Linked DNA regions of Cricetulus griseus. The protein of the gene in region 1 purifies or fractionates together with the protein of each later gene. This does not show direct contact. Links are inferred from orthologs where the notes say so. Each region holds a gene or a part of one and is shown in the gene's direction. Other genes may lie near its edges.

Region 1 (3,500 bases):
ACCACATGTGTACTTAGTCTTCTCAGAAGCCAGAGAGAGTGATCATTTGATCCCTGGAACTGGAATTACAGACAGTTGTGAACCACCATGTGAATGGGTGCTGAGCTCACTGCAAGAGCAGCCAATGGCCTTTTTTAGTTTTGTTGAAAGTCTCACTATGTAGCCTTGGCTGGCCTGACACTCACAGTTCTGCCTGCCTCTGCTTCCTAGCTTTGGGATTAAAGATGTGGGCCACCTGGCGTGGTTAAGAGCTAGTGCTCTTAATTGTTGCTGAGCCATTTGGTTGAAGGGTAATCTCTTTGACTGACAGTTACTTGCTGTGTTAGGTGTTTATCTGTAACGAAGCTTCCCCTAAAATCCTGTGTAATTTTCCTGTGATGTGTAATAGTGACTCTTAATGAGGTCATTGCTGACCAGAAACATTGCATATGTGAAATGGACACTTTGCTAGGTTTTGACATACGTTCATCACGGGGCTGTCATGGGATAATGACTATTTCTGTTAAACTTTTCTGTCATTTATAACCACGAAGTCACAGTTTTGAGATGTTTCTAAGCTGGGCAGTGGTGGCACACACCTTTAATTCTAGCACTCAGGAGGCAGAGGCAGATGGACCTCTGTGAGTTTGAGGCCTGCCTGATCTACAGAGCGAGTTCCAGGACAGGCTCCAAAGCTACTCTAAGAGATGTTTCTATTAGGATTTCATTCTTTAGGAAACTGCGTTGCCTGCATGTACTCTGGTCCTCAAAGTAACTGACCATCTTGGGGAGGCTGCAGAACAGCTAGGACCTCAGTTCGTTTAGAAAGGTCTCAGTATACAATAAGTTTTAAAGGTGCACATGTGCAAGCTGTTTGCCTTCTTGCTCAGGTACATCTTTCTGGAATATGCTTCTCCTGCTCATGCTGTGGATGCTGTGAAAAACGCTGATGGATACAAGCTGGACAAGCAGCACACGTTCCGGGTCAACCTCTTCACTGATTTTGATAAGTGAGTTGGAGCCTGAGATCTGTGGTTGATTCCTGTGGGTGATGGGGAGTTCGTCAGTGGGTGCTGGTAGCCTTTGAGGTGATTCACTTCTGTTGGCCAAACAAGAGCATTTCAAGTTTCTGCTTTGGGCTTGGGGTAGGTGGAGAGGGTACAGTGCTGCCTGGTCATGGGCCCCCTCACCCCATCCAGCTTGTGCCACTCAGCAGTGCCTATTCTGTTGCAGGTACATGACGATCAGTGATGAGTGGGACATTCCAGAGAAACAGCCTTTCAAAGACCTGGTATGTGCTGTAAAACCTCTGCTTTTGTAGTAAGGAGAAATTTCATAACTTGAGGTTAAAAGGTGTCTGTTGAACTTGTCATCTGTCAAAGTGTGATAGTGTCAGCTTTCTTTGAATAAAATTAATTCAGTGCACTAAATCCCTTGATTTTGATATTTTTAGGGGAATTTGCGTTACTGGTTGGAAGAGGCAGAGTGTAGAGATCAATACAGTGTAATTTTTGAGAGTGGAGACCGGACATCCATCTTCCGGAATGACGTCAAAGATCCAGTCTCAATTGAAGAAAGAGCGGTGTGTACTAGCAGCTGTGTGACCTCTTGTCTCATTACAGCAGGGCTGGTTTCTGCCCGAAGGAGCAGGTGAAGGCTCTTGTTCTCTGAGGCACTTTGAGAACAGCGTGGAAACAGATTCTGAAAAAAAGAGAAGATGCTTTGTAGAAGGAAGGGTCACTGTGCTTGGCTTTTTGTCATTTTAACGCTGGTCCTTCCTTCTTACAGAGATGGACAGAGACTTATGTGCGCTGGTCCCCTAAGGGCACCTACCTGGCCACTTTTCATCAGCGGGGCATTGCCCTCTGGGGAGGGGAGAAGTTCAAGCAGATTCAGAGGTTTAGCCACCAAGGCGTGCAGCTTATCGACTTCTCTCCATGTGAAAGGTGAGTGACTCAAGCTCTCCTCTTGTTGGCCTCCTCAGGTGACTTGTAGTCTCAGACTTCACAGAAAAATTCCAGAAAGAAGCCAGAGAACTCGCCAGGCTGGCCTTTAATCCCAGCACTCGTGAGGCAGAGGCAGGCGGATCTCTGTGAGTTTGGGGCCAGCCTGGTCTCCAGATCAAGTGCCAGGATAGGCTCCAAAGCTACATTTTGCTTGCTGAGGTGTGGCCCAGCGTCTCTGCCACTGAGCTACATCCTCCCCAGCCCCATAAAACTGAGCAACTGAGCTGGGGATAATTCCCTTACATGGTTTCACCTTTCTGGGCTGCAGTGACAGAGTCCCACAGCAAGAAAATTGTCTGTATCGTATCGTGAATCTTAGGAGAGAGCCCATGCAGACAGAACTCGCTATAGTATGTGTTTATAATGGTTGCATTCTGTTCTCTTTGGTCTCTTAACTCTGCTTAACACATACTTATGGGTATGTGTATATGTACGTATAAGGAAAAATACTCACTGGACTTGGTACTGGGAGATTGTGGAATGTATCCTTCAGGTAAAGTGGACCCTTCAAGGTGAACCACATGTGCTCATTTCCAAGGGCACATCCACCACATAACCACCGTGTGTATTTTGTGATGCCTTAGTTCTAGGTAAGGCACCATGCCTGCATTAATATTTGGTGCCACAATGTCACACAGATTAGTTCTTATTCTAGTTCAGGGACTAGACATTTTTCCTAGAAGGGTTTCTTTCCCTTTTCTGAATTGGTCATGGAAAGAGACACTTGTGAAAAGTGGAGCTGGAGGAAAGCTAGAGGAGCCCACATGCCACGCACACCTAGAATCCCTGCACTTGGGAAATAGAGGCAAAAGGATTGGGAGTTCAAGGCCAACTGGTCTACATGAGACTCTATTAACAAAAAACAACAAAAATATATACTAGTTACCTGCCTTAAATTATTCCTTTTTTTTCTTTCTTTCTTTCTTTCTTTCATTTATTTATTTATTTATTTATTTTCTGTTTTTTACAAGGCGGTTTTTTTGTGTGGCTTTGGAGCCTATTCTGGCACTCACTCTGTAGATTAGGCTGGCCTCAAACTCACAGAGATCCACCTGCCTCTGCCTGCTGAGTGCTGAGATTAAAGGTGTGCGCTACCAACACCCAGAAAATTATTTCTTATTTACGTCAAAAACAAAAGGTTTATGATTCTGTAACTTAAAAGTGCCTTCCTGTTGGGCTGGAGAGATGGCTCAGTGGTTAAGAGCACTGACTGCTCTTCCAGAGGTTCTAAGTTCAATTCCCAGCAACCACATGGTGGCTCACAACCATTTGTAATGAGATCTGATGCCCACAGAACACTGTATACATAATAAATCTTTAAGAAAGAAAAAAAAAGTGCCTCCCTGCATAGACAAAGGTTGTTACATCCACTGATGCATGTTGGCCCCAGTCCTATGTCCCGTAGCTGTCATTCCCTTCACTCGGAACAATCCTTTCTTCTCTTTGTGCTGCTCTCATAGAGTGCCCTTTAATTCTTAACCACTTCACCTGTCTGGTACAAGAGAGTCCATTCCA
Region 2 (4,048 bases), about 57 Mb from region 1:
AACTCAGAGACCCACCTGTCTCTGCCTCCACAAGTGCTGGGATTAAAGGTATGCACTCCTGCACACGCACGCGCGCGCGCGCGCATACACACACACACACACACACACACACACACACACACACACGGCTCCATAATACAAATTCTACGTGCTGGAAATATAGGTCATCACAAGTGCGCCCAGCGTGTGCTTTCCATCTGCACTAGCAACCCAAACTAAGAAAGAACTTCTTGGAATGCATGTTCCCAGAGGCTGAGAATCAAGTAAAGGAAGATTATACCAGAGTTCTAGGGGGTGTAGCTCTGAGGAAGGAGAAAAGCTTAGTATGGGAAATAGTTTAAGATGACACTGGTAGGAACCCATTTCACATAGAGGAATATTCCCTGAGCCTAGACACACGGGGGAGGGCCTACGTCCTATCCCAAAGGATATGACAAACTGATGACCCCCCCCTATGGAAGGCCTCACCCTCCCTGGGGAGCAGAAAGGGCATGGGATAGGTAGGGTGTTACTTGGGGGAGGGAGGCAGAGGAGGAGGGGAGGGAGAGGGAACTGGGATTAACATGTAAAACAATGTTGTTGCTTTCTTCCTTTTTTTTGGGGGGGGGTTCGAGACAGGGTTTCTCTGTGTAGCTTTGGAGCCTGTCCTGGCATTCGCTCTGGAGACCAGGCTGACCTCGAACTCAGAGATCTGTGCCTCTGCCTTCCGAGTGCTGGGATTAAAGGCGTGTGTCACCAACGCCCGGCCTTTTTTGGTGTTTTTTATTTTTGTTTTGTTTTGTTGACAATGTTGTTTCTAATTCAAATAAAAAACGGAGGAAAAAAAAAAGATGACACCGGTAGAACTTGCAAGATGTCTTTGCAGCTAAGAAGGCTGACTGCCAAGCCTGAAGACCTGGGCTCAGTCCACAAGAGAATAAACTGGGGAGATTGCTATGAGTGCAAACCCAGCCTTCGGTACATCAGTGCGTGGTGCTCATGCCTATAATTTCAGCCCTTCGGAGGTTGAGGCAGGAGGATTGTCGGGAATTGCTGGTTATCCTAGCTACAGAGTGATACAGTGACTTCTAATCCCATCACTCCCCCCCAAAAAAACAATAAATTAAGTGGGTGCGGAGAGTTTAAGAAGTTCTGGACGGTCTCTCTGGGACCTCCTTCCAGCTTGGGTCCCCGTACTTCGCTGCACACGAGAGTCGCGTGTCCGCCTTCGTCCATAGGGAGGCGCTGTGCTCGCCGCGGTCTGGCCGCTCTAGGCTGCAGGGGCGGCACCGGAAGCCTCGTTCTCCCCGGGCTTCCGCTCTCTACCCGGGCTGGGAGCTGCGTGGAGCTAGACTTCGCGATGCCGACGGGCGACTTTGAGTGAGGACGGGGCGGTGGCGGGCTCTCCAGAGAGGCGGTGTGGGGCAGCGCTGGGTGTGTGGTGATCCGGGCGGCGCGGGGGTCGGGACCCGCTCACCCTTCTCGTGTCTCCGCAGCTCGAAGCCCAGCTGGGCCGACCAGGTGGAAGAGGAGGGCGAGGACGGTGAGTGCGCGTGTGCGTGTGAGTGAGTGCGTGAGTGCGTGCGTGTGAGTGCCTGTGCGCGGCCCTCCGCGCCCTGTCCCGGGGCGGGCCGAGCCCCCGGAGTCCCCAAACCCACCCACACCTTGGCCTGGACGTCCCAGCCGTGTGTTTCACTTTCCGTCCCCCCCGCCGCCCCCGCATTGCCTCTGACAGACAAGTGTGTCACCAGCGAGCTCCTGAAGGGAATCCCTCTGCCCACCGGGGACACCAGTCCAGAGCCGGAGCTACTGCCCGGAGGTGAGCCCCGTCCAGCCCTGCCGTCCCCTCCCCCTTCCGGCCCTCGAGCCCGTTCCCAGCAAGTCCCCGTTATCCAGGACTCAGTTCCTGTTGTCTTCCCACAGAGCCACTGCCACCTCCCAAGGAAGTCATCAACGGGAACGTAAAGACTGTGACCGAGTACAAGGTAGATGAAGATGGCAAGAAGTTCAAGGTGAGGCCGAGGTGGCCGCGGGGGCGCTTGGATTGGCGATGAGGGCTGTGAGTGTTGGTTTGGATTGGTGAGGAAGGAAGGCCTTGAGGTTCTGGAAGTCCTTTCTCCCTTTCCATCTTCAGATTGTCAGGACCTTCAGGATTGAGACCCGGAAGGCATCGAAGGCTGTGGCCAGGAGGAAGGTGAGGCCCTCCCATCTGACTCACTTTGGTGTGTGTATGCGGAGGGGTCTCCAGGACTGGCCCAGAGGAGTTGGGAAGTCCTTTCCTGTTGATGTAGAATTAAAAATTTAGTGTCAGGCCCTGGAAATTCAGGGTCCAGGAGTAGTTGAGGTTAGATTTTTTTCCCCCCTTTTGTGTGCTCCTGTGTACAGTGTCATTCCTCCAGCAAATTCCTCTTGCATTGAGATGGGCTTTTGTCATCAGGAATTAGATTTGACTAGCTGGCCACCTATCCCCAGTGAGCCTGTTGTCTCTACCTTTGGAGATAACAATCACATGCTTCTGTGCCCAGCTTTTCATTGTGGGTGCTTGGGATTGGACTTTGATGGGTACTTTTGTGACAAATAATTTGCTAACTGGGACATATCCATCCTCTTGAGTTTTTTGTTTTGTTGTTATTTTTATTTATTTTTTGGTTTTTCGAGACAGGGTTTCTCTGTGTAGCTTTGGAGCCTATCCTGGCACTCGCTCTGGAGACCAGGCTGGCCTCAAACTCAGAGATCCGCCTGCCTCTGCCTCCTGAGTGCTGGGATTAAAGGCGTATGCTACCAACGCCCAGCCTTAATTTATTTATTTTTAAAGATTGATTTATTTGTTTATTATGTATACAGTGTTCTGCCTGCATGTCAGAAGAGGGAACCAAATCTCATTACAGATGGTTGTGAGCCACTATGTGGTTCCTGGGAATTGAACTCAGATCTCTGGAAGAGCACTCAGTGCTCTTAACCTCTGAGCCATCTCTCCAGCCCCATTTGTTGTTATTTTTGAGAGGCTCTTGCTGTGTAGTATTCAGATTCTAAATGCTTCTGCCTAGCCTCCTGGGTCCTGACTTAGATTCTTACTCCTTTGCTCTGTCTACTTGAAGGAACAAGCAGCCTCTACTGAGCAAGGGGCAAGGGCTTCTGGAGGAAGGACATCAACACATTGAGAGCAAGGCTCCATGCCAGGCATTTAGCAAGACATGGCTTCCCAACCTCTAGATCAGGCTAGGGAGGCAGGGAGCTTTGTGGTCCCATTTAACTAGCTTAAGGTTCCTGTGATCTGAGTGACTCTTGGACATCCTCCAGCTTCCTCCCTGGTGGGAGCCCGCCCTGCACCTGCCTAGAAACTTCAGTGGCACAGTTGTGTGCCATTCTACTCTGAGTCTCCTTGCTGTTTCCTGGAGTTTTTTTTTTGCTTCTCTCCTTATGGGGTGTGTGTGGGGGGGGGTAGGTGTGTGGGTGTGTCTCGGGGTCATGAATGGCTGTATATTCACACTCAGACTAGAGGAGGAGATTGGGTGACTTGCTCTGTCATGTCACTTTACAACTTATTCTCTTTAGATAGGGTCCCCTGCCCCTGGGCTATATTTAACTCTTTGGTTTGTTTGTTTTTTGTTTTTCAAGACAGGGTTTCTCTGTGTAGCTATGGAGGCTGTCTTGGCACTGGCTCTGGAGACCAGGCTGACCTTGAACTCACATAGATCTGCCTGCCTCTGCCTCCCAAGTGCTGGGATTAAAAATGTGTGCCGCTACCACCTGGCTCATACTTTCTATATGAGAGTTTTGGGTTCTTTCATGTACAATAACCGGTTTTACACACGGAACCACCTCACCAACACCCTCCCCCCTTCTCCCCCACTCCTTTGTTTTGGCCTCATACAGCAGAGCTCAGGCTGGTTTTGAACTTGTGTATCTCAGGGTGACCTTGAGCTCGGAATCTTCTGTTTCCACCTTTAAGTGTCAGGGTAACAGTTACATTCCACCAAGCCTAGCTTAGGAAATGAGAATTGTCACCATTATCACATGGGAGGCCTCTGGGGACACGAGAATGTAGGATTTAAGGCTCTGACGGGGT
Region 3 (3,500 bases), on another chromosome or scaffold:
AGCTGGTAGTTAGACTGGGTGTATAATTCAGTGTTGCTTTATACATACAAGGCCTTAGGCTTGATGCTCAATGCTGAAGAGTATATAAGTTCAATAAAAAATATTGTATTGTTGAAGTGCCTGTGTGCGTGCACATACATGTTCGGGCATTTGTTTTAGCTTCTAATGACTGACTTTGGCTATTTTAACTGTTAAGGTCAGTTTTTAGCAGGCTGAGGAACTGCAAAGGGCACAGTGGTGAATGCTTTAAATTATTCCCAGGCTCCTTTTCATAGTTGCAATGACAATATTAATTATGCCTTACCTGTTGAAAATTTTATCACGAAAAATAAAAGACCCAGAGATAGATATTGGGGTTCAGACTTGAAGCTGAAGATTAGAAAAACAAAACAGCCAAGCCATTAGCTGTTACCATTACCTCAGGTTGAATGGGCTGATCCTGCTGCCTTTCCTCAGCGTGACTGTAGAAGTCTGAATGTCTTCCTATCTTCCATGAGGCTGGAGAATGAATGCCTGATACTGAGACCTTGCTCCTGTCTTACATACCTCCCTAATGCTGGGATTAAAAGTGTGTGATCCCAGGTGCTGATATCATCTTTGTGTAAGCTGTTTCTCTTTAGGACTGGATCAATCTTGTGTAGATCTGGGTGGCCTTAGTTTCACAGATCATCTACCTTTAAAGATGTATACCACTACCTCCTAGCTTCTGGGATTAAAGGTGTGTGCCTGGCTTCTATGGCTTGTGGCTGACTTTGCTTTCTGAAACCACAGGCAAGCTTTAATAAATCATAAATAATATATTACCACAGAAAATTCCAAACAGCTGTTGTGTCAAGCAGTGAGTCTGACATGAATTTATGAAGGACTTCTGTACTGCTGGCTTGCTCACTTGAAATGCTGTTTTGTTTGTCTGTTTTTGTTTTTTTCTAATTGTTTTCATTGTATCAACATAGTTGTTATACTTGCAAAATAATAGTTTAAACCTTTCCACAGTCTACCTCCATAATATAGAGTACTGGTTTACCTTTCTTTTTGTGGACCTAGGAATTGAACACACTAAACCGCCCTTCTATAATATTTTAACATATTAAGAAAATTGGGCTATTTTTTTTTCTTTTTTGGTTTTGTTTTGTTTTTGTTTTTTGAGATGGATTCTCGAGCTAGCTTTGGAGGGGCCATTACCTTTATTTATAATCTTTGATGACCTAAAATGTGCAAATAGGGGGGGTGTATCTACAGTTTTATAAAAATCACTTAAATTTGAGAAGCCTTTCTGCTTTAATGAAGAGCTAAAGTGGTCTGGTTGTCCCAGGGGTTGGTCTGTAGTCAATCTTGTGAAATCATCTGCTCTTATTCGTTGTATCAAACTTGCTTATAGTATTGCTGTCCTGGTTTTGTTTAAAGTTTTTTTTAAATCCTACTTTATTATTTTCCACTAGGAAACCACCCCTACTACTAATCCCCCACCTGTGGAAGAGGAAAAAACAGAATCTAATCAGGAGGTTGCCAACCCAGAGCACTATATCAAACACCCTCTACAGAACAGGTAAGCTGCTTTCTGAGAGAGGTAAGAAGGGTGGTGCACAGCTAGGTTTCAACAGAAGGATGAGGTGTGCCTCCTTTTAGATGTATATGCTCAGGTGTCAGCCCACAAAGGATCTTCGCTGAGGAGAAGAGAAGCCTCTGAAGGATATGGTCATGAAGACAGGACAGTGGGGGGCCAAGGGATACAGGAGCAAGACTTACTCAAGGTGTCACAGTCTCCCTTGGGCTGCACACTGAAGTAACTCCTTGCTGACTTCAGCGAAGGCTTTTTGTAAAGTGTAGGTGAAGGAATGAGAGGTTGGAGCATTTGAAAAGTGGATAAGACATATTAGGAAGCAAGAATGGGAAACAAAGGCAGATTGAGAAAGGAGAGAGATGGGGTTTGTGAAGGCTAGAGGAGGTGGCCCATGCAGACCAGGTGGAGGAGGGAGGGGAACTAAGGCAAGTTTTCAAATGAGCGGTGTAACGGAAGATGGGTGGTGGTTTGTTATACCGTTCTCTAGCTTTACCTATGTTTCTGGTTTAGTTACTGGGTTTTCAGATTATGTAATGAAAAACATTTTTATTTTACTGATGGTGGGAAGAAAATGGAAACTTGAAATGTACATGAACCTGGAAAAAAGTAACACTGGAACTGACTTCTGAGGGTCGAGTTCCTTTCTGGTTTCCATATTTGTTTACCAAAAGCAGATCTTTTTTTTTTTTTTTTTTTTTTTAACTGAGTTTATTTGAAAGCCTGCCAGCCTGTTTGTAATTTATTGTCGTATTTCACCATCAAGGGGATAGCATAGTTTTTGCCCTTTTTATGGCATTTTAAAACCCTAACTCTAGGGGTTGATGCTCCATGGTTACAGGCATGAGCTGCTCCTGCAGAGGACTCAGATGGCTTTTCATGACCATCAGTAGCTCCAGTTTCAGGGCATCCAGTCCCACCTTCACTCGTCCATGGACATACACACAGGCCAACACACTCATGTGCATACACAGCTAACACTCCTTTTAGCTGTCTGAACCCAGTTACTGCTTTGCTGTCATTAGGAGGGGAGTAACCCAGCACACCAGACTGCTGAGAAATTTGAGACCATGCAAAAGTGTAAACAGATTTATTCAATCCTCGTGAGATCTCAAGAGATTACAATTTCTCTAAGTTCTAATCTTTTTTTTTTATTTTGCAAAGTATGCCAGTTGGGAAAATACTATAAATGCTATTTGGTACTAAAACCATCACTGACTTTTCGTAAATTTTGTGGTTTCTGTATGTTCTTATAAGCACTTAACAGTTAGAGGATTTAGTAATGAGTGGGGACAGTGTATAAAGGTAGTATGTTTGCCTTCCTCCCCTTTGTTAACGGTGGTGGGGTGCCTTGCAGTGCTGTTGTATGTGCCCACTTGTGCGTGAGCTGTTTGTTATGACCAGATGGGTGCCAGTCTGAAGTGGGAAGTCCGCTTTTCTTACTGTGTGCTTGAGAGCACTTTCATATTCTTTTGGTCACTTGTGGTTTTCTCTTTGGAGAGTCTGTTCTGGGTTTTTACCTATATCTTTTTTTTTTTTTTTCCTTTTGGATTATCTTTCGAGTTGATTTCCAGTTACTCAAATAGCAGGAATAGTAAATCAGCAAATGCAGTTCCAATTTACTTTTATTAGGTTCTTTGGAATTGTATGGGATTGGATTTAAAAATTTTAATATTTATGTAGGCAAATATCATTTTCCCCATGGCTTCTGGATTTCCTGTCAGTCTTAGTACAACTTTACCATGTAGTAATTTTTTTTTAAGATTTTATTTATTTATTATGTATACAACATTCTGCTTCCATGTATACCTGCACACCAGAAGTGGGCACCAGATCTCATAATGGGTGGTTGTGAGCTACCATGTGGTTGCTGGGAATTGAACTCAGGACCTCTGGAAGAGCTGTCAGTGCTCTTAACCTCTGAGCCATCTCTCCAGCCCCC
Region 4 (3,992 bases), on another chromosome or scaffold:
AGTCGCTGCAATAGGTCATAGTGTTCTCGGGGGTCCTTATTAAAGATGTCGGGGTCAACAAGGGCCATCCCTGGAGCCCGGGGCTGGGCCGGTGCCCAGGGGCCAGCAGGGCCTCAGGGCTCGAGCTTTGGTATCACCCTCTGTCTCCACAAGTCCTGGGCCCGCCTTGAACTCTGCGGGCTGTGGCCTTCCCCCTCCCCACTCTCGCTTCCTGCCCCAGCTGCGAGGCTGTGCAGAGGGCTCCACCCCTGTCCCTAGGGTTCTGAAAGCCTGATTGCCTTGGGACTGGTGGGACTCCCCTTTGCCCCCTCAAGTGCACTATGTAAATAAGATGCAAAAGACCTTAATTGCAACCTGGGGCTGACCTAGCACCCTCTTCCCAGCTCTCCTGTTCTGGGAGGAGTCAGTCACACGTTACAGTTGAACCTCTGCTAGGCACTTGAAGACTTGGAGCCAAGCCAGAGGCTGCAGGTCTGCACACCGAGCTACCTAAGCGCCACACAGGCCTGTTTTCCTCAGGCCACTCAGGTGACAGCTCCTGCACGCCTGCGACAGGGCCCGTGAGGCGCACATGTCTTGGGTTCCCGTGTGTACCAATGGGAAGGCGCTCGGGGCAGCTGCCCACGTGGCACACACTGGTGCATCGAGCCTCAAGCACGCGGAGTCTGGGGCAGACACGGGGCGCTTGTTAGTGGCCCCCATCGGGAGCCCGATGGGGAGAGACTCCAGGGTGGCAAGCGCAGCAGCCGTTCGCTGTGCTCCCCGGTGGCACCACGGATCGGGGATTTAATAGTGAGTTAGGGTACTGGACGCCATTTCAGGGGGGCAAGACGGGCTTCAGAGAGCACCTCGCCCCCGTCCGAGCGCAAAGTGGGCGCCGCTGCGTCCCCTGGCGCGGCTATTTGCGCTTAGGGCTACGCAAGCGCCGGCGCGCCCGCCCGGAACCCCAGCGTTCGGCTCTAGGTTTCCGCGGCCCGGGAACGGGCTCGGCCCCGCCTCCCGGCGCCTGCGTAGTACGGCGGACGAAACCTTTTCTCACGCCGTCGGGTCCATTCACGCCCGACCCGGCGGCGGCGGCGGCGGCGGCTGCGGAGGAATCACGTGCTAGCCGGAAAGCCGAGGCGGCTGCCGGAAGCTCCTTTCCCTTCGCCTTCCCCGAGGCCGCGGGAGACAGGGCGTGACGTGTTTCCGCTTCCCGTGCTCCCTTTCTCTTCCTTCCGGCCCTCGGGTGCGGTGCGGTGCGGTGCGGCGCGCCGGGGCCTTGGGGTTCGACTCCGGCGGGGGCCGCGGAAGCTGACGGAGGTCATGGCGATGTTTGAGCAGATGAGAGCGAACGTGGGCAAGTTGCTCAAGGGTATCGACAGGTCCGAGCTCGGCTGCAGGGCGCGCTCTGGCCAAGCGGGGTGGAGAAGACGGGGAGCCAGCAGGGGTGGTGGCCTGGGCTCCACGCTCGGCCAAGTCTCACCTCCGTCCCTTTTATTGTCACCGCCGCCTCAGGCTCTCGGGGCCTCTCAGGCTCTCTCCTCCCTGCTCTTCTTGCCAGCCATCAAACGTAAGGGTCCCTGGTGTCTGCCAGGCCGCTGGGAACCGGAGGTGATGGGGACAGCCACCGGTCCCGCTTCCCCGGACTTAGGTCCCCGCTCCAACCGGGCGACAACCCCGCTCAACAGAAAGTAGTGACAGCAGGGGACGGATGTAGGAGAATGAGAAGCGGAGAAGAGGAGGGGTGAGGCGGACATGAGGGAGCAGAAAGGTAGAGTCAGATGAAGAATAGAAGATAACAAGAAAGGAGACACCATAATAGAGGGAGACATTTTAGGTTTACAGAGAAATCGGGCACTAGGGAAATGTCTGGAGATCTACAAAGATGACATCAGCTAACAATCTAAGCAACAGAGGAGAGGCTACCTTAAATGCCCTGATAATGAGATTGATGACTGACTTATATGCCACCCGATAGCCCTCATCCAGCAGCTGGTGGAAGTAGAAACGACACCCACAACTTATCACTGAACTGCACTGGAACCCAGATGCAGAGAAGGACGAGTGATGAGCAAAGGGGTCCAGACCAGGCTGGCAAAACCCACAGAACATCGGGGAGGTCTTGTTCCCCAGACTGATAGCTGGGATATCAGCATAGGACTGATCCAGACCCCAGGAACATGGGTTTCAGTGAGGAAACCTTGGAAATCTACGGGACCTCCTGTCGTAGTTCAGTACTTATCCCTAGCATAGGTGTGGACTTTGGGAGCGCATCCCACATAGAGGGACACTCCCTGAGCCAAGACACAAGGGGGTGGGCCTAGGCCCTATCCCAAAGGATATGATAGACTCTGATGGCCTCACCCTCCCTGGGAAGCAGAAAGAATATGTCATAGCTGGGGTAGGGGAGGGAGAGGGAACTGGGATTGACATGTAAAACAATCTTGTTCTAATTCAAATAAAAAAGAAAGAAAGTAGTGACAGCAAGGAGCAATCAGGGCCAGGCCAGAGCCAAGCCGAGTATTAACCTAGGCAGAATAGAACTGAGTCAGGAGTTCCCAGAGGATACTGGTAGATGTTCAGGAAGTCACATATACAGGCAGCAGAGACTGGCTAAGGTTGGACGCACCCTAAACACGGCCCAGGGCTCCAGTAGGGCTGAGTTGTGAGCAGGGTTTATTGGAGAAGGTACAGTTGGTCAGTTCTCTGGGTATATCTAGTGGATAAGACTAGCTTTATTATTTATTGTTAAATCGAATGGGAAAGAATTTTTAAAAAGGTAATACAGGGAGGAAGACCCCGGGGCCAGATTTAAAGCTGTAGGAAGGAAGAGAGTGATTTCAGGTTACAATAGTAGCCCTATATTGGGACTGGCCTCCTCCTTCTCTCTGTTTACCCATATCTATTTGTCACGTTATCTCCCTCTTTCCTTTTGAGGAAGGTTTTCACTATAAAGTCCATCTTCTGTCCATCCTCATCCTGTGTGTCTGTACACCCCCCCCCCCCATGAAATGCATGCCAGGTGGCTCACGAATCATCATGATTCCCTTCCAGGTACAATCCTGAGAACCTGGCGACGCTGGAGCGGTATGTGGAAACCCAAGCCAAGGAGAATGCTTATGATCTGGAGGCCAACCTAGCTGTCCTGAAATTGTGAGTGTCTGTCCCCTCTCCACCCTCATGCCAGCTGCTAGCTAGCAGGATGCCACTCTGGATAGGGACCTGGCTGCCGATGTACCCATGGCAAGCTGCAGTGTGTGGCTTCTCTTAGGTGTGTAAACCAGGAAGCCAAGAAGGTCAAAACATACAAGATAATCTATAAACAATTCTATTGCTTCACAAATTACTGTAAATGAATATCCCTGTTGCTAGTGCTACTGGCCCTTTGCCACATGCCCTGCCCTACCAAACTCCCACCTTAGGTAACCACTGGGAACTCTTACGTATGGTCTGGCTTTGGGTACTTGCTTGCATCCAGATCAGTTTAGCTCAGACTTGCTTGCTTTGAGCTCAGTTGTAATCATGCAGCACAAGCTCTGTTCCTAGCATCTTCCTGTCAGTGCTGGGTTAGTGGCCTTTTCTTCCAGTGTGTGTGTGAGTGTGTGTAGTGTGTGTACACATGCCTGTGGCCTCAGACTTGCAACCTGCCTGGGTCCCTGGATTGCAGTTGTACGCCACTATAGCCAGTTTTGCAAGATGCCATCATTGCTTTGTCTCATTCTCCTCAGGTACCAGTTCAACCCAGCCTTCTTTCAGACCACGGTTACTGCCCAGATTCTGCTGAAAGCGCTCACCAACCTGCCCCACACTGACTTCACTCTGTGCAAATGTATGATCGACCAGGCACATGTATCCTTCCTTCTGGTGGCATGGGAGAAGGCTGGGGAGCAGGGCAGGTCGGGGCATCCAAAAAAAAAAAAAAACCAGGTGCCTGCTCTGGGCTCAGCTCAATGCTGGGTCAGCCTCAGGTGCTGTGTGATGCTCATGCCTCTCATATGGAGGTCTCGGGA
Region 5 (3,500 bases), about 9.1 Mb from region 1:
TATTGCCGATTCCACTCTGTGCTCACCACCCTACCCTACAAGTTAGAGCTTGACTTTAGAGGTCTGGGGATAGTATTAAGGATCTTGAGGGCTCTCTTTACGTTAGGACATGTGTGCCTAATGCTAGGCTGGCTATCTAGATAAAAAGAGAAAAGGCAGCTTTAGCCAAGTAACTGTTTTGTTTTTGTTTTACTCTTAGCTCTTTTATTGAGACAGGGTTTCTCTTTGTAACAGCCCTAGTTGTCCTGGAACTAGATCTGTAGACCAAGCTGGTCTCTAACTCAGAGCTCCAACTGCTTCTGCCTCTTAGTGCTAGGATCAAAGGTGTGTGCCACCATTGCCTGGCTTAGCTTTATTTTTATATGTATGTCTTGCCAGCGTGTATGTGTATGTACAGTGTGCATGTCTGGTTCCAGAGGAGGCCAGAAAGTGGCACTTGATTCCTTGGAACTGGAGTTAGAGATGGTTGTGAGCTACCACGTGGGTGTTGGGAACTGAATCCGGGTCTTCTGCAAGAGCAACAAGTATCCTTAACTACTGACACATCTCTCTGGCCCTCTGGTTATCTTTTTGGTTTTTTGAGACAGGTTTCTCTGTGGCTTTGGAGGCTGTCCTGGAACTCACTCTGTAGACCAGGCTGGCCTTGAACTCACAGAGATCCAACTGCCTCTGCCTCCCGAGTGCTGGGATTAAAGGCATGTGCCACCACCGCCCGGCTGGTTATTTTTTTGGAACAATCTTCGTCCTATGACTGACAGGCAGAAGAACGGGGACGCCTGAAAGAAGAGCTAGAAGAGGCCCGGGACATAGCTCGACGGCGCTCTTTAGGGAATATCAAGTTCATTGGAGAGTTATTCAAACTGAAGATGTTGACAGAAGCAATAATGCATGACTGTGTGGTCAAACTACTTAAGAACCATGATGAAGAGTCCCTGGAATGTCTCTGCCGTCTCCTCACCACTATTGGCAAAGACCTGGACTTTGCAAAAGCCAAGGTAGAGGTTCTGGGATGTGGGGAACGGGAGAAGCATATGGGCCCCCTGTTTGCTGACAACATACAGGCTAGGGAGGGAGTCTGGGCTGCTTAGCCAATGTGAGAGTTGAAGTATGAGGTGATTGACTTGGTCCTTTGCTTCCTAGCCTCGAATGGATCAGTATTTCAACCAAATGGAAAAAATTATTAAAGAAAAGAAGACCTCATCTCGAATCCGTTTTATGTTGCAGGATGTATTGGATCTGCGGCAGGTGTGTCTCTTCCCCCACTTCATCTGCTCTAGTTCCTGACACTGCCTTGTCTGATCCATGCCAACCACAGAATAACTGCTGTTTTCATTTTGTTTCCAAAGAGCAATTGGGTGCCTCGACGAGGGGATCAGGGTCCCAAGACTATTGATCAGATCCACAAGGAGGCTGAGATGGAAGAGCACCGAGAACACATCAAAGTGCAGCAACTCATGGCCAAGGGCAGCGACAAGCGTCGGGGTGGCCCTCCAGGCCCGCCCATTAGTGAGTTTGAGGCTAGGGCTAAGGAGACAGTGAAGCTCATGGCGGGTACGAGGGTACCCAGCTCTCCACTGATGACTTCTGTTAGTGCCACGTGTCTGGGCCACTGAGACCACATGATGGGATTGAGGATCTGAGGAAGAGAGGCTGAGGGTGGCCCAAGGAGGGGTTATCAGGACCTGTCATTCTAACATCCTCCCCACCCCCTATTTTTTGTGTCAGGCCGTGGCCTTCCACTTGTGGATGATGGTGGCTGGAATACAGTCCCCATTAGCAAAGGCAGCCGCCCCATTGATACCTCACGGCTCACCAAGATCACCAAGGTAGGGTTGTATTCTGAAGGTGAGGTGGAGGGTGAAAAGGGATGTACCATACATTGGTCCCCACAGTTAGGATGGTGATGCCTGAATTTTCTTTTTAGACTATTTAGATTGCTTGAGACTGGTTAAATGAAGGGGCTCCAGCTACAGGTTTTGTTCACATTGGTCCTAGTAAATTGACAACACCAAAATCAAGCCAAGAATGGTTTTTACACTTTAAGCGATTGAAAAAAATAAAAGGGCAATACTTTATTATGGTGTTTACAGTATGTAGAATTTGAATTACACTGTCTATGAATAACTACTGGGATATAACAACAGTTAATTCTTTATTATACTATTTTCACATTGTACTGGCAGAATGAGTAGTAGCCATAGCCTATAGGTTGTAAAGCACTAGAATATTGACTGTCCAACTATACAGTAAAATATAGTAACAGCTTGCTTCACCCCCCTGTTGAGCCCTTCAGTGTGGGCTAAGGGCTTAAGCTAGGTCAGAAGTGTGAGTCTACTTTATTCCTTCTGCAGCCTGGATCCATTGATTCCAACAACCAGCTCTTTGCACCAGGAGGACGACTGAGTTGGGGCAAGGGCAGCAGTGGGGGCTCAGGAGCCAAGCCCTCAGACACAGGTAGGAAAGGAGGCCACTATAGGAAACTGGATGGTTGCTATTTTCAGCTCCCTTTCTTCCATGGGAAATGCAGAATAAGTAATTAGGGATGAGTACAGGAGGCATATATGATGCCAGGGATTGAACTACTTCCTGTCAACATCGACCAACTATGGAGGGGGTGCATAAAGTAGTGAACAAGGCATGGTGATGCACTCTTGTAACCCTAGCTCTTGGAGGGTAGAAATGGGTTAATGCAGTTTTCTGTCTCCTTAGCGTCAGAAGCTACTCGTCCAGCTACTAGTACCTTGAATCGCTTTTCTGCTCTTCAACAAGCATTGCCCACAGAGAACACAGATAACAGGCGTGTTGTACAGAGGTGAATGTTTAAGGGCATTGGGGTGGTTGTTCTCATAGAATACTGCGATTGGGTTTTGGTTGTCATAGCATAGAGATTTCTCATACCTGTATTGCTTGGACATGTCCTTGATGCCAAGAATGAGACCCAGCAGCTGCCATACACGTTGGGTGGGTAGTCACATGAAAGTTGTTGAGCGAGTATAGATGAGAAACAACATATCTTTCAGGAGTAGCTTAAGCCGGGAACGAGGTGAGAAAGCTGGGGACCGGGGAGACCGACTAGAGCGGAGTGAGCGGGGAGGTGACCGTGGGGACCGACTTGATCGTGCCAGAACACCAGCCACCAAGAGAAGTTTTAGCAAGGAAGTGGAGGAGCGGAGTAGAGAGCGGCCTTCCCAGCCCGAGGGACTGCGCAAGGCAGCCAGCCTCACAGAAGATCGTGGTCGGGATCCTGGTGAGAAGGAACGGGGGAAGGCTGGCAGAGGAATGGGGGCAAAGGCTATTGGGCTGTGGGACTGAGTGCTCCCCAACTTTCTTTGAGAGCTCTAGACTGTAAGATGAGTAACTGAAAAGTTCTTCTCCTGTAGTGAAGCGGGAAGCCACTCTACCTCCGGTGAGCCCTCCAAAGGCTGCACTCTCTGAGGATGAAGTGGAGAAGAAATCTAAGGCCATCATTGAGGAATATCTCCATCTCAATGACATGAAGG
Region 6 (4,282 bases), on another chromosome or scaffold:
GAAAGATGATTAAACTCTGACACAGTAGAATCTGCAGCAGATGGCCTCTGGGATCCACAGCAAAAAGGGAAAGAAAAAAAAAAAAAAAAAAAAAAAACACAAAAACAGGAGCGATATGATGGAAGTTCAGCAAAGATACATGTCTCCTTATATTTTATGACACATCTCAATTTTATATTGATTTGGGGTCTTGCTATGGAGCCTAGGCTAGCTTCAGGTTTGCAACAATCCTTGTGCCTCAGGTTCTCAGGTGCGGGGAGTTCAAGGTTAGCCTGGGCAATTTAGTGAGACCCTATTTCAAAAATTTTTTAAACATTTTGGTGTAAGATGGCTCAGTTTTCAAAGACAGTGCCTTTTTCTCAGAACCTTCTCCAACTTCACCAGCTCCTGTCTGGCATTATGATCCATCCTCCTGCCTCAATTTCAGACTAGAGGGATCCCAGGATGCACTGCCATTTCTGGCTAGGAGCCAACTCTTAAAGGCATATGGTGTGGTAGGCCCAACCTTCAGGGCAGAAAGAACAGCAAGTGTAGGACCTGCTGAGAGGGAAATGAGAGCAGGCCACGGTGACCAGAGCAGAGGTTGTACAGAATAATAGGCATCGAAGCGAGAAGGCAGCCAGGGATGTCAGGCCACAGAAAGCTAGTCTACTTTATGTTATGCTTCCCTAGGGAGGTGCTAATTGTGTGGGAAGACGTTTGACCACGCTGAGGAGCAACCCACCAGGAGTATGAATAGATCCAAGCTATGACGGGAGATGGAACTCAAGATGTGTCTGAAATTAAAATAGGCTAGTCATGAAACGAAAGAATATTTATTTATTTATTTATTTATTTATTTATTTATTTTGGTTTTTTGAGGCAGGGTTTCTCTGTGTAGCCCTGACTGTCCTGGAACTCGCTCTGTAGACCAGGCTGGCCTCTGCCTCGTGTGTGCTGCGATTACAGGCGTGCGCCACCACCGCCGGGCCTATTTTGTCTTACTTTCAATGAGCAAACAGAAATCTCCGTTGAAAAATGAGGCTTAAGATCTGTGGAACAAGGGTTTGAGCCCTGGCGGCCATCGCGAAGTTCTAGCAGCCCGGACCACGGTCTCTCGCCACCCCTCACCCTGCAGACAACCGGCACAGGGAACGAGCGAGGACACCTCCAGCGGAGGGCGGTTCAACCCGACCAAAGCCAGACAGGAGCCAGCAAGAGCCGCGGGGCATTGTGGGAGGCAAAGGGGCCGAGGCAGCCGCGAAGCATTGTGGGACACCGCGGGGCCGACTCCTGCTCCCCGCCCCAGCTTCCCTCGCACCGCGCGCCGCCACGTTTCAGTTCTGAATCGCTCGAGGCGTCCGCGGATGCCGCTGACGTAACCAGCCCCACTCCTGTCTCTCACCTCAGAGAATAATGAGGACTAAGCCAGTGGCCGTGACAAACTTCCGGTTGTGTCTTCGCTTTACGGCCCGACGTTTTTCCGCTGACTAAAAAGGAAGTGGTAGCGCCGTTTACGACAGCGCCGGTCGCGGTTTACGGCGCCGGCTCTTGCGCGCGCAACTTTCCTGCTGTCTTGGTTCCTCGGAGAATCGAGAATATCGCAGTCTCTGACCCGTGCCATCTCTCGCCATCCGGGCCTGCGGAGCCCACTGCAGGTGAGCGGCTTGCTTTGCAGAGACCTGTGGACCTCGCGAGCCACCCTGGGCTAGGCCTGGCTTCGGGGGCCTCCCGGAAGAGCCTTCCTTTACGTCCTCTCCTGTCGTCGCCCCAGGGCGGGGCGGGAATCTGCCTTGGGTGGTCCCAGGCGCGACCCTGTTAGTGCAGGACACCCCACACGGTGTGGATCCCTCACCCGATGCTAAGCCCAGAGCCGTGGGGACGAAGTGTCCTCCTCCGGGGGCTTCGAACAGTTTCCGTCTCTGCTCCGAAGTGGGCGACTGAGAGGAGTGTGCTCCACCCTGGTGTGAAACCGAGCCCAGGACTTCGTGGCTCTTGTCTGTAGTGTCCACAGTGATCCGCACCGTATTGTGGTTAGTACAGCTGTCGCATCGTTTTAGTTTTCCCCTATCAGTGACCTTCTGGTTCTCATGTGCGGAAGCCAAAGGACTCCAAACCCCTGCCCATCCGGGGAGATGATGCATGTCAAGTCTTGGACTATCTTGAACTTGTGACAACTAAAATTACAGTTGCTTTTGAGGTGGTATTGTGAGTATGTCTTAAAGGCCCAGGTCGTCAGGCTGTCCCTAACTGCAATGTAGCCAAAGAAGGCCAGGCTTAGGCAGACAGCCTTGGAAACTGCCTTTGAGATGATGGGCAGATGGACTGCTTAAGTTATGAGAGCCAACTTTCTCAGAGATGATGGTTTGAGGAAGCAGTGGTGCCTATCTATCCAGCACAGTTCCAATACTTTGCTGGGGGCTCTTATTTCATGTGAGCTGTTCAAAGGCCACACGCTCCCCCATGTTCTCTTCCTACATACAGCTTAGCATAAGTTCTTATTTGGGGATGCAGGTCCCAAGTTTATTCCTTGTTGCTGTCACCTAAATATCTTAAGCTTTCCTATGGTGGAGCAAGGAGGAGAGATTACTAAACTCTCTGGACATTGTCAGAAGGTAAGACTTAGTCTAGGCTTAGAGACGTTGGGTATTGGGTGCCCAGGTGAGAGTGTTTTTGAGGGAACTCATCTCACTTTTATCATACTTCATGAATCTGAGGTAGCTCTGTCTTATGTTATTCTAAGAAAGAAAAGACAAGATGTGACAGCCATCAAGCATAAGGCATGGCCTCATTTCAAAGATAGTCACCAAAAAAGAGCAAGTCCTAGAATTAATGAGACACAAGAAAATGTGGCTGGTGTCGACAATGTTCTGAGTTTTAAGTGTTCTTAGAGTGGTTTACAAGAAAGCTGTCCCTGCTGCTCCAGAGCCCAGGGCTCTGCGCTTTGTGTGTGCCTCTGTGGTGCAGCTTCAGTGGATCACGGAGTGTTTGGGACTTAGTGGCCTTTCCTTATAAAGCTGTTCACAATGCTTGTGTTTTAAGGTTTTAGACAATGGCGAAGTTCATGACTCCTGTGATCCAGGACAACCCTTCCGGCTGGGGCCCCTGTGCAGTTCCTGAACAGTTTCGGGATATGCCCTACCAGCCTTTCAGCAAAGGAGATCGGCTGGGGAAGGTATTGGGTCCCTTCAGCTGGGGTAGCTACTCCACAGCTCCTCACATCCTTTTTGCTCTCTTGGTGGCTATGCTTCCTTTGGGGACACCAGCCAAAGGCCAGAGCGGGTAGCTGATGCAGAAGCATCAGAGGTGAAGCTGATGACGTGTTCACTCAGCCTCCCTTGCTATCTTGAGTTTCTGAGTCAGCAGAGGCCTGCTCACCTGACCTCTTGTCTTCATCACACCTAACAGGTTGCAGACTGGACGGGGGCCACGTACCAAGACAAGAGGTACACAAGTAAGTATTCTTCAGTGAACTATCCACATTTAGGCCTTGGGAAGATTGTTGCTTTGTTCAGTGAGCTCCACACTGAAAAGGAATGCTGATGATAGTTATTGGGGTATATTTTAAATGTGTGCCCTAATATTGGTTTTGGAAATAGTCCCAGAAGTTAAATTGTTAATTATTATAGGGGTGACAGCCAGACTCCTAGACATGTTGAGTGTGCTGCCGTTTGCATTTATTGCTTGGGACTTCCTGAGGCCATCAGTCAGTGGGCTGCCCCGGTTTTAAGGTTCTGGTAAAGGAACGTGCTTTTTTTTGCACATTAAGAGATTGGGGTGGGGAGAGATGCAGAAGAGGAAGAGAGAGAGTAAAGGGAGAATTACGGGTCAACCATTGGAAACAGAGCGCAGAAAGTGCTTTTCTTGGTGCCAGTTAGATGGTTGGAAGTAACTTCGGGAATACTAAGTTAAGGTGGATGAGGTCAGAAAGAAAGTTTATCATGGTCGATGATAGTGTCCATGGCTCCTGTGATGGCAATGGTGGTACACTCCAGATTCTTAATTGTCCAAGGCAGAGGTGAAGTGGGTTAACTTGAGATGCTTGGGCTCTCTTGGTAAGTTCTTTAGACTCAAGCTCTTAAAACTTAAATGTGTGTATGAATCACCTGGGATCATGTTTAAATACAGGTTCCCATCTGTCAGGTCTGGACAGGGGCAGTAAGTCTGCACACCTCACAAGCTCTTGGCTGTGGTCCCCAAAAGTGCTGCAGGTCCCAAAACCACGCTTGAGAGAGCAAGGCTCAAGACTGCCATGTGTAGCCTTTAGGGAGCACTTAGCACACACTGTCACCTTTGCCTGCAG
Region 7 (3,999 bases), on another chromosome or scaffold:
ATGGGGGTGGGAGGAGGAGACCTTATCAAGTGTCATCCCAGCGAAGGATGATGGGAAGCCCACTACAAGTTGTGGCCACAGGCCCCTCCAGTTTTGGGAAAGACATCCACCCTGCAGAGTCCTGGTCAAAGTTGCTGGTAAGGCAGATCCGTTTGCATCCTAGAAGGCAAGGTTCATCTCAGAGAAGGTGGAATCCAGATTTTGGATTCCCTCCGTTCATTTCCAGCCGGGTGACCTTGGGGAAGTCACTTTTTTTTCTCTGGGCCTCCTCTGCAAATGGGGCTCCTCGTTCCATTTCGCACTTAAGAGCATCCGAGGACGACGTGTCGACATAATGCCCGTGACTTGCGACGTCAAGTGCCGGCGAGTGGCATCTGTTATGTTAATAAGTCCCTGCGGCAGGCGGGTTCCTATCAGTAGCCGTGCGCTCCGGCTTAGCCGGTCCCTCTACAGAGACTCGGTTTCTCGCTCCGGGCGCCTCTGGTAGGTCTCGGCGGACCTCGGCCTCGGGTGCCGTTACTATTGTTCTTCGAGGCTGGGCCGCAGGGGAGGGCTCTCTCCCTTCATACCTCTCCTTTGGTCTCTCCCTCCCCCAGGCACCGTGCCGCGGAGAGCCTCAGCAGCTCCGGATCACCGATCTTCCCCGAGAAATAGTCAGCTCCAGCGGCTCTCCCGAACAGCGGCCGAAGACGCTCCCGAGAGCTCCCGAAGAACCCCGGCCGTTCGCTGTCTCCGGAAAGAGCCGAAGGAGCTTTCCACCCTCGGCCTGCCGAGCCCTTCCGAAAAGGGCCGAAAAGCTCCGAGCGGCCGTCCTGCCGGACTGCTGGAGGCGGCCGCAGCGCCATGTTGGATGCTCTGCTCGTTGAGTGAAGAAAATCCGTCCGCATCGCCCGAGCCCCGCTACCGAGAAGGGCGCCGCTTCCCCCGGGGAGGGGGACAGAGACCCCCCGCCGCCGGCCCATGAGGATATTGCCGTGAAAGGTCCGGTCTCTCCGCCTCCTGCCCCCGCCGGGTCCGGCCCCCCCCTCCCCGGGGTCGCGTTGTCACGGAGACCGGCAGCCGGTGGTGCTGGCCCGCGGGGCGGCTGCTGCTGCCGGCGGCGGCGGCGGCGGAGGCGGCGGCGGCGGGCGGCGGAGGGCGTGTGTGACCGGTCCCGGCCCCCTCCTCCTCCTCCTCCCAGCCTCCCCCCGGCCCCCGCTCCGCCGCCTCCCCGGGTCTGCCCCCATCCCGCCCCTCCGCTGCCCCCGGCCCCTGCACCCCGGCGCGCCCGGTCCCGCTCTGGGGGGGTTGGTGGCTTCGCTTTGCCATGAGTTTACCGCAGAAACCGGCTCTGAAATCAGGCTCAGCGGCTGCAGCAGGAACCGGACCCGGCACCGGAGCGGCGGCGGCAGCGGCGGCGGTACCGCCTCTCACCCGGCGGCGGCGGCGGCGGCAGCGGCGGCGGCGGCGGCGGCAGCAGCAGCGGCAGCGGCGGCCCCTCCTCACCCGAACATCAGGGCCCTCCAGACCCCGGCGCCCCAACAGTATCCTTTTCACCTTCCAGCGGTCCAGAACGACCCGTGGTGGGAGCCTCCCTGCCTGCCGCCACAGCCCAGCAAGGGAAGGGACGGGCAGCCAGCCGCTCCAGCCCGTTGCTCCGGGCTTGGCCCGAGCTTTTGGGGTGCACCGGTGGCAGCATTTGCTGGGACCCCGGGACCCTCTGCGGTACCGTGAACACTAGCTCCCCCGGGTCATGCGTCTGCAGCTCTTGTGGATCTCGGGGAGCCCTGCCCTTGAAGACCCCCTCCCCTTTATTGGGCAGAATTTGCTGGGGCTTGGGACCAGCCCTGCAGGCAAGGCTTTTCTGATTGTTGGGAGGCCCTGCCTTCCTGCGGGGCTCGGTGGCCTCTCTGTTATTTAGAACCCACAGTAAACTTTAATGGTAAATTTCCTGTTCGAAACGAATCAGCTCGTTCCCGAGGTAAGTTGGGTCCTCTGCCTATAGTGCAAGTGTACAGAAAGCACTCCTTCTGGCTATTTTTTTTTTTTTTTTTTAGCAATTAGAGTTGTGTTGTGGTTTGTGGTGGAACCGGCTAAGGAGGAAATGCTACAGTGGACTCTTCCCTGTCTTTGACCTTTTTAAAGGAAGAGGAAGTTAACTCACATTACCCAGCACCCCCAGAAGTGTCACTCCTAAGATTGGTGTTGTGCTAAACGTTTTTTTTCCCCCCCCCAAGGCCTGATGTCTGGAGGGTACCAGGGCTCCCGAGAAAGCTCAAGTATCGAATGTGTTTTAATTTCATGATGTCGAAGTTGGGACAGCTTTGATTGAAAAATCTTGGTGGCCAGGTGTTTTAGTCCGAATAAAACGTTGAAATCACGGCTCCCTCGGAGCTTTAGCAAGGTGTTCCGTTTCTTTTTTCTTTCTTTCTTTCTTTTTTTTTTTTTGTGGCTTTTTCGAGTCGGGGGTTTCTCTGTGTAGCCCTGGCATGTAGACCAGGCTGGCTTCGAACTCAAGAGATTTGCCTGCCTCTGCCTCCGATTAAAAGTATGTGCCACCACCACCTGGCAAGCAAGGTGTTTGTTACCTGAGAGTAACGTTTTATCATTCGTCCCTCCTCCCTACGCCCCTTGTGCTTGTGTGAAAAATCAAACGATCATTGGATGTTCACTTTGCTGTGACTTAACGCGTTTGTCACCCTGCTTTTGACTTTAGACATAGTCGCAGTGTTTGAGCTAGATAGTCTCGGCTGTGAGGGCCGCGGATCATTTCAGTCTAGTTTGATTCTTGTCTGTATTGATTACCTTGAGAAGGGAAAAACACTTCCCTCCTTGGGTCACCTCAGGTCATTGTTTGTTTTCTGTCAAGTGTCCTTTCTGTGTTGTCTCAGTGTTGGTAGTCAACATCTTTCAGTGCTCCAGTGTGGTGTGTGTACTGATTTCATAACGTTTTGACCCTGCACGGTTCTGTTCAGTTAAGCACTCACTGTTGAGAATGTTTAGTGTTTGTGGAAACCCAGTTACTTGTGACCCACATGCACAGCTGCTGGCCTGGGAAGGAGCAGGTTGACTGTTCAGCCTGCTTCAGTGTAGAATTGGGTCGCTTCAGTCTACCAAGCTTCACTTCATACTTAGGAAGGAATTTGAACTAATTTTAGGGTGGTTTTTCTTGATGGTCTGTGCTTGTAGGTTTCTGTCTCGGGACCAAGTGAGTTATTCATTACCTGCCTCTTTGAGGGAGTTAAAGCAGAGGAAGCGTGTAGTGTGGTATGTGCTTGGAGCAGCATACTGAATAGCAAGTGTTGTATCACAGTGTTGTATGTGACAGCCTTTGTTAAAGTTGGTGGCCTCTTTGGATACAAATCTGGGTGACTTGAGTATCCCAAGTGTGCTTTTTCTCTGCACTTCACAGTCCAAGGACTGGAAAAACTTGGAGCTGGTTACAGCTTGGAAGTAGTGACTGGTGTTTTGAGTTAAATTTTTATCTTTTCTTTAAAATAGAAAATGCAGCCATTAAAGATGAGTAAGTTCAAGGTGCTGTTTGCAGAGATCATTTTAGATCCTTCCTGGCAGTGTTGGAGCCTACTGTGTTGCTTTAGGGATGTATTTTGCTCTACGTCTTGGCAGTTGACATTTTACACTTGATGTAGTCTACAATTCCCGCCTGTCACCTGGCAAGATTACATTGCTAAATTGTAAGCATTTTTCTAGATAGTAAGTGAAGCATAGGCTACAGGCTTCTTAGAACACATCAGTGGTACAGTATTGCCAGCTGATGGTGGAAGAGGTCGGAAATGGATTGAAGTAGAGCAATCTGCTTTTCGAGTAGATGGAATGGGGGAATCTGGGTTTGATGCAAGCGCCATCATGCAGTAAGTTGGTGTTGCTCTTTCTGTGGCTTGAGTAGATCTCTAGTTCCTCAAAATTTATGGATCTCTAGTTCCTTAAAATTTATAGGTACAATTGCTTGCTTCAGATTAATTAGCTCAAGCAGTATGTGTGTGTGTATATATATTATAT

Evidence for each region.
Region 2: the proteins of Eif3b (region 1) and Eif3g purify together in Homo sapiens (affinity purification with mass spectrometry; 12 studies listed by BioGRID and IntAct, counting the BioPlex papers as one, with this or other methods). This does not show direct contact. The link is inferred for Cricetulus griseus from reciprocal best matches to the Homo sapiens genes EIF3B and EIF3G.
Region 3: the proteins of Eif3b (region 1) and Eif4e purify together in Homo sapiens (affinity purification with western blotting; 5 studies listed by BioGRID and IntAct, with this or other methods). This does not show direct contact. The link is inferred for Cricetulus griseus from reciprocal best matches to the Homo sapiens genes EIF3B and EIF4E.
Region 4: the proteins of Eif3b (region 1) and Eif3k purify together in Homo sapiens (affinity purification with mass spectrometry; 7 studies listed by BioGRID and IntAct, with this or other methods). This does not show direct contact. The link is inferred for Cricetulus griseus from reciprocal best matches to the Homo sapiens genes EIF3B and EIF3K.
Region 5: the proteins of Eif3b (region 1) and Eif4g1 purify together in Homo sapiens (affinity purification with western blotting; 7 studies listed by BioGRID and IntAct, with this or other methods). This does not show direct contact. The link is inferred for Cricetulus griseus from reciprocal best matches to the Homo sapiens genes EIF3B and EIF4G1.
Region 6: the proteins of Eif3b (region 1) and Eif3d purify together in Homo sapiens (affinity purification with mass spectrometry; 10 studies listed by BioGRID and IntAct, with this or other methods). This does not show direct contact. The link is inferred for Cricetulus griseus from reciprocal best matches to the Homo sapiens genes EIF3B and EIF3D.
Region 7: the proteins of Eif3b (region 1) and Eif4g3 purify together in Homo sapiens (affinity purification with mass spectrometry; 3 studies listed by BioGRID and IntAct, with this or other methods). This does not show direct contact. The link is inferred for Cricetulus griseus from reciprocal best matches to the Homo sapiens genes EIF3B and EIF4G3.

What each region holds. Positions count from the first base shown.
Region 1 is NC_048597.1:77,058,642-77,062,141, forward strand, and holds part of Eif3b (eukaryotic translation initiation factor 3 subunit B), read left to right. Parts: intron 1-869; coding exon 870-989; intron 990-1,212; coding exon 1,213-1,270; intron 1,271-1,432; coding exon 1,433-1,561; intron 1,562-1,767; coding exon 1,768-1,925; intron 1,926-3,500.
Region 2 is NC_048597.1:133,768,270-133,772,317, reverse strand, and holds the start of Eif3g (eukaryotic translation initiation factor 3 subunit G), read left to right. Parts: upstream 1-1,248; 5' UTR 1,249-1,339; coding exon 1,340-1,359; intron 1,360-1,475; coding exon 1,476-1,522; intron 1,523-1,714; coding exon 1,715-1,798; intron 1,799-1,902; coding exon 1,903-1,991; intron 1,992-2,113; coding exon 2,114-2,173; intron 2,174-4,048. UniProt on the Homo sapiens protein: RNA-binding component of the eukaryotic translation initiation factor 3 (eIF-3) complex, which is required for several steps in the initiation of protein synthesis.
Region 3 is NW_023276806.1:21,031,942-21,035,441, reverse strand, and holds part of Eif4e (eukaryotic translation initiation factor 4E), read left to right. Parts: intron 1-1,439; coding exon 1,440-1,546; intron 1,547-3,500. UniProt on the Homo sapiens protein: Acts in the cytoplasm to initiate and regulate protein synthesis and is required in the nucleus for export of a subset of mRNAs from the nucleus to the cytoplasm which promotes processes such as RNA capping, processing and splicing.
Region 4 is NC_048602.1:6,869,409-6,873,400, forward strand, and holds the start of Eif3k (eukaryotic translation initiation factor 3 subunit K), read left to right. Parts: upstream 1-1,192; 5' UTR 1,193-1,305; coding exon 1,306-1,364; intron 1,365-1,439; exon of another isoform or gene 1,440-1,552; intron 1,553-3,036; coding exon 3,037-3,135; intron 3,136-3,710; coding exon 3,711-3,831; intron 3,832-3,992. UniProt on the Homo sapiens protein: Component of the eukaryotic translation initiation factor 3 (eIF-3) complex, which is required for several steps in the initiation of protein synthesis.
Region 5 is NC_048597.1:67,966,473-67,969,972, reverse strand, and holds part of Eif4g1 (eukaryotic translation initiation factor 4 gamma 1), read left to right. Parts: intron 1-758; coding exon 759-995; intron 996-1,140; coding exon 1,141-1,245; intron 1,246-1,346; coding exon 1,347-1,506; intron 1,507-1,569; exon of another isoform or gene 1,570-1,644; intron 1,645-1,725; coding exon 1,726-1,826; intron 1,827-2,351; coding exon 2,352-2,454; intron 2,455-2,709; coding exon 2,710-2,812; intron 2,813-3,020; coding exon 3,021-3,247; intron 3,248-3,380; coding exon 3,381-3,499; intron 3,500-3,500.
Region 6 is NC_048595.1:375,067,495-375,071,776, reverse strand, and holds the start of Eif3d (eukaryotic translation initiation factor 3 subunit D), read left to right. Parts: upstream 1-1,482; 5' UTR 1,483-1,637; intron 1,638-1,753; exon of another isoform or gene 1,754-2,012; intron 2,013-3,021; 5' UTR 3,022-3,031; coding exon 3,032-3,154; intron 3,155-3,387; coding exon 3,388-3,433; intron 3,434-4,282. UniProt on the Homo sapiens protein: mRNA cap-binding component of the eukaryotic translation initiation factor 3 (eIF-3) complex, a complex required for several steps in the initiation of protein synthesis of a specialized repertoire of mRNAs.
Region 7 is NC_048595.1:15,353,412-15,357,410, reverse strand, and holds the start of Eif4g3 (eukaryotic translation initiation factor 4 gamma 3), read left to right. Parts: upstream 1-1,199; 5' UTR 1,200-1,523; intron 1,524-1,575; exon of another isoform or gene 1,576-1,918; coding exon of another isoform or gene 1,919-1,960; intron 1,961-3,999. UniProt on the Homo sapiens protein: Component of the protein complex eIF4F, which is involved in the recognition of the mRNA cap, ATP-dependent unwinding of 5'-terminal secondary structure and recruitment of mRNA to the ribosome. Functional homolog of EIF4G1.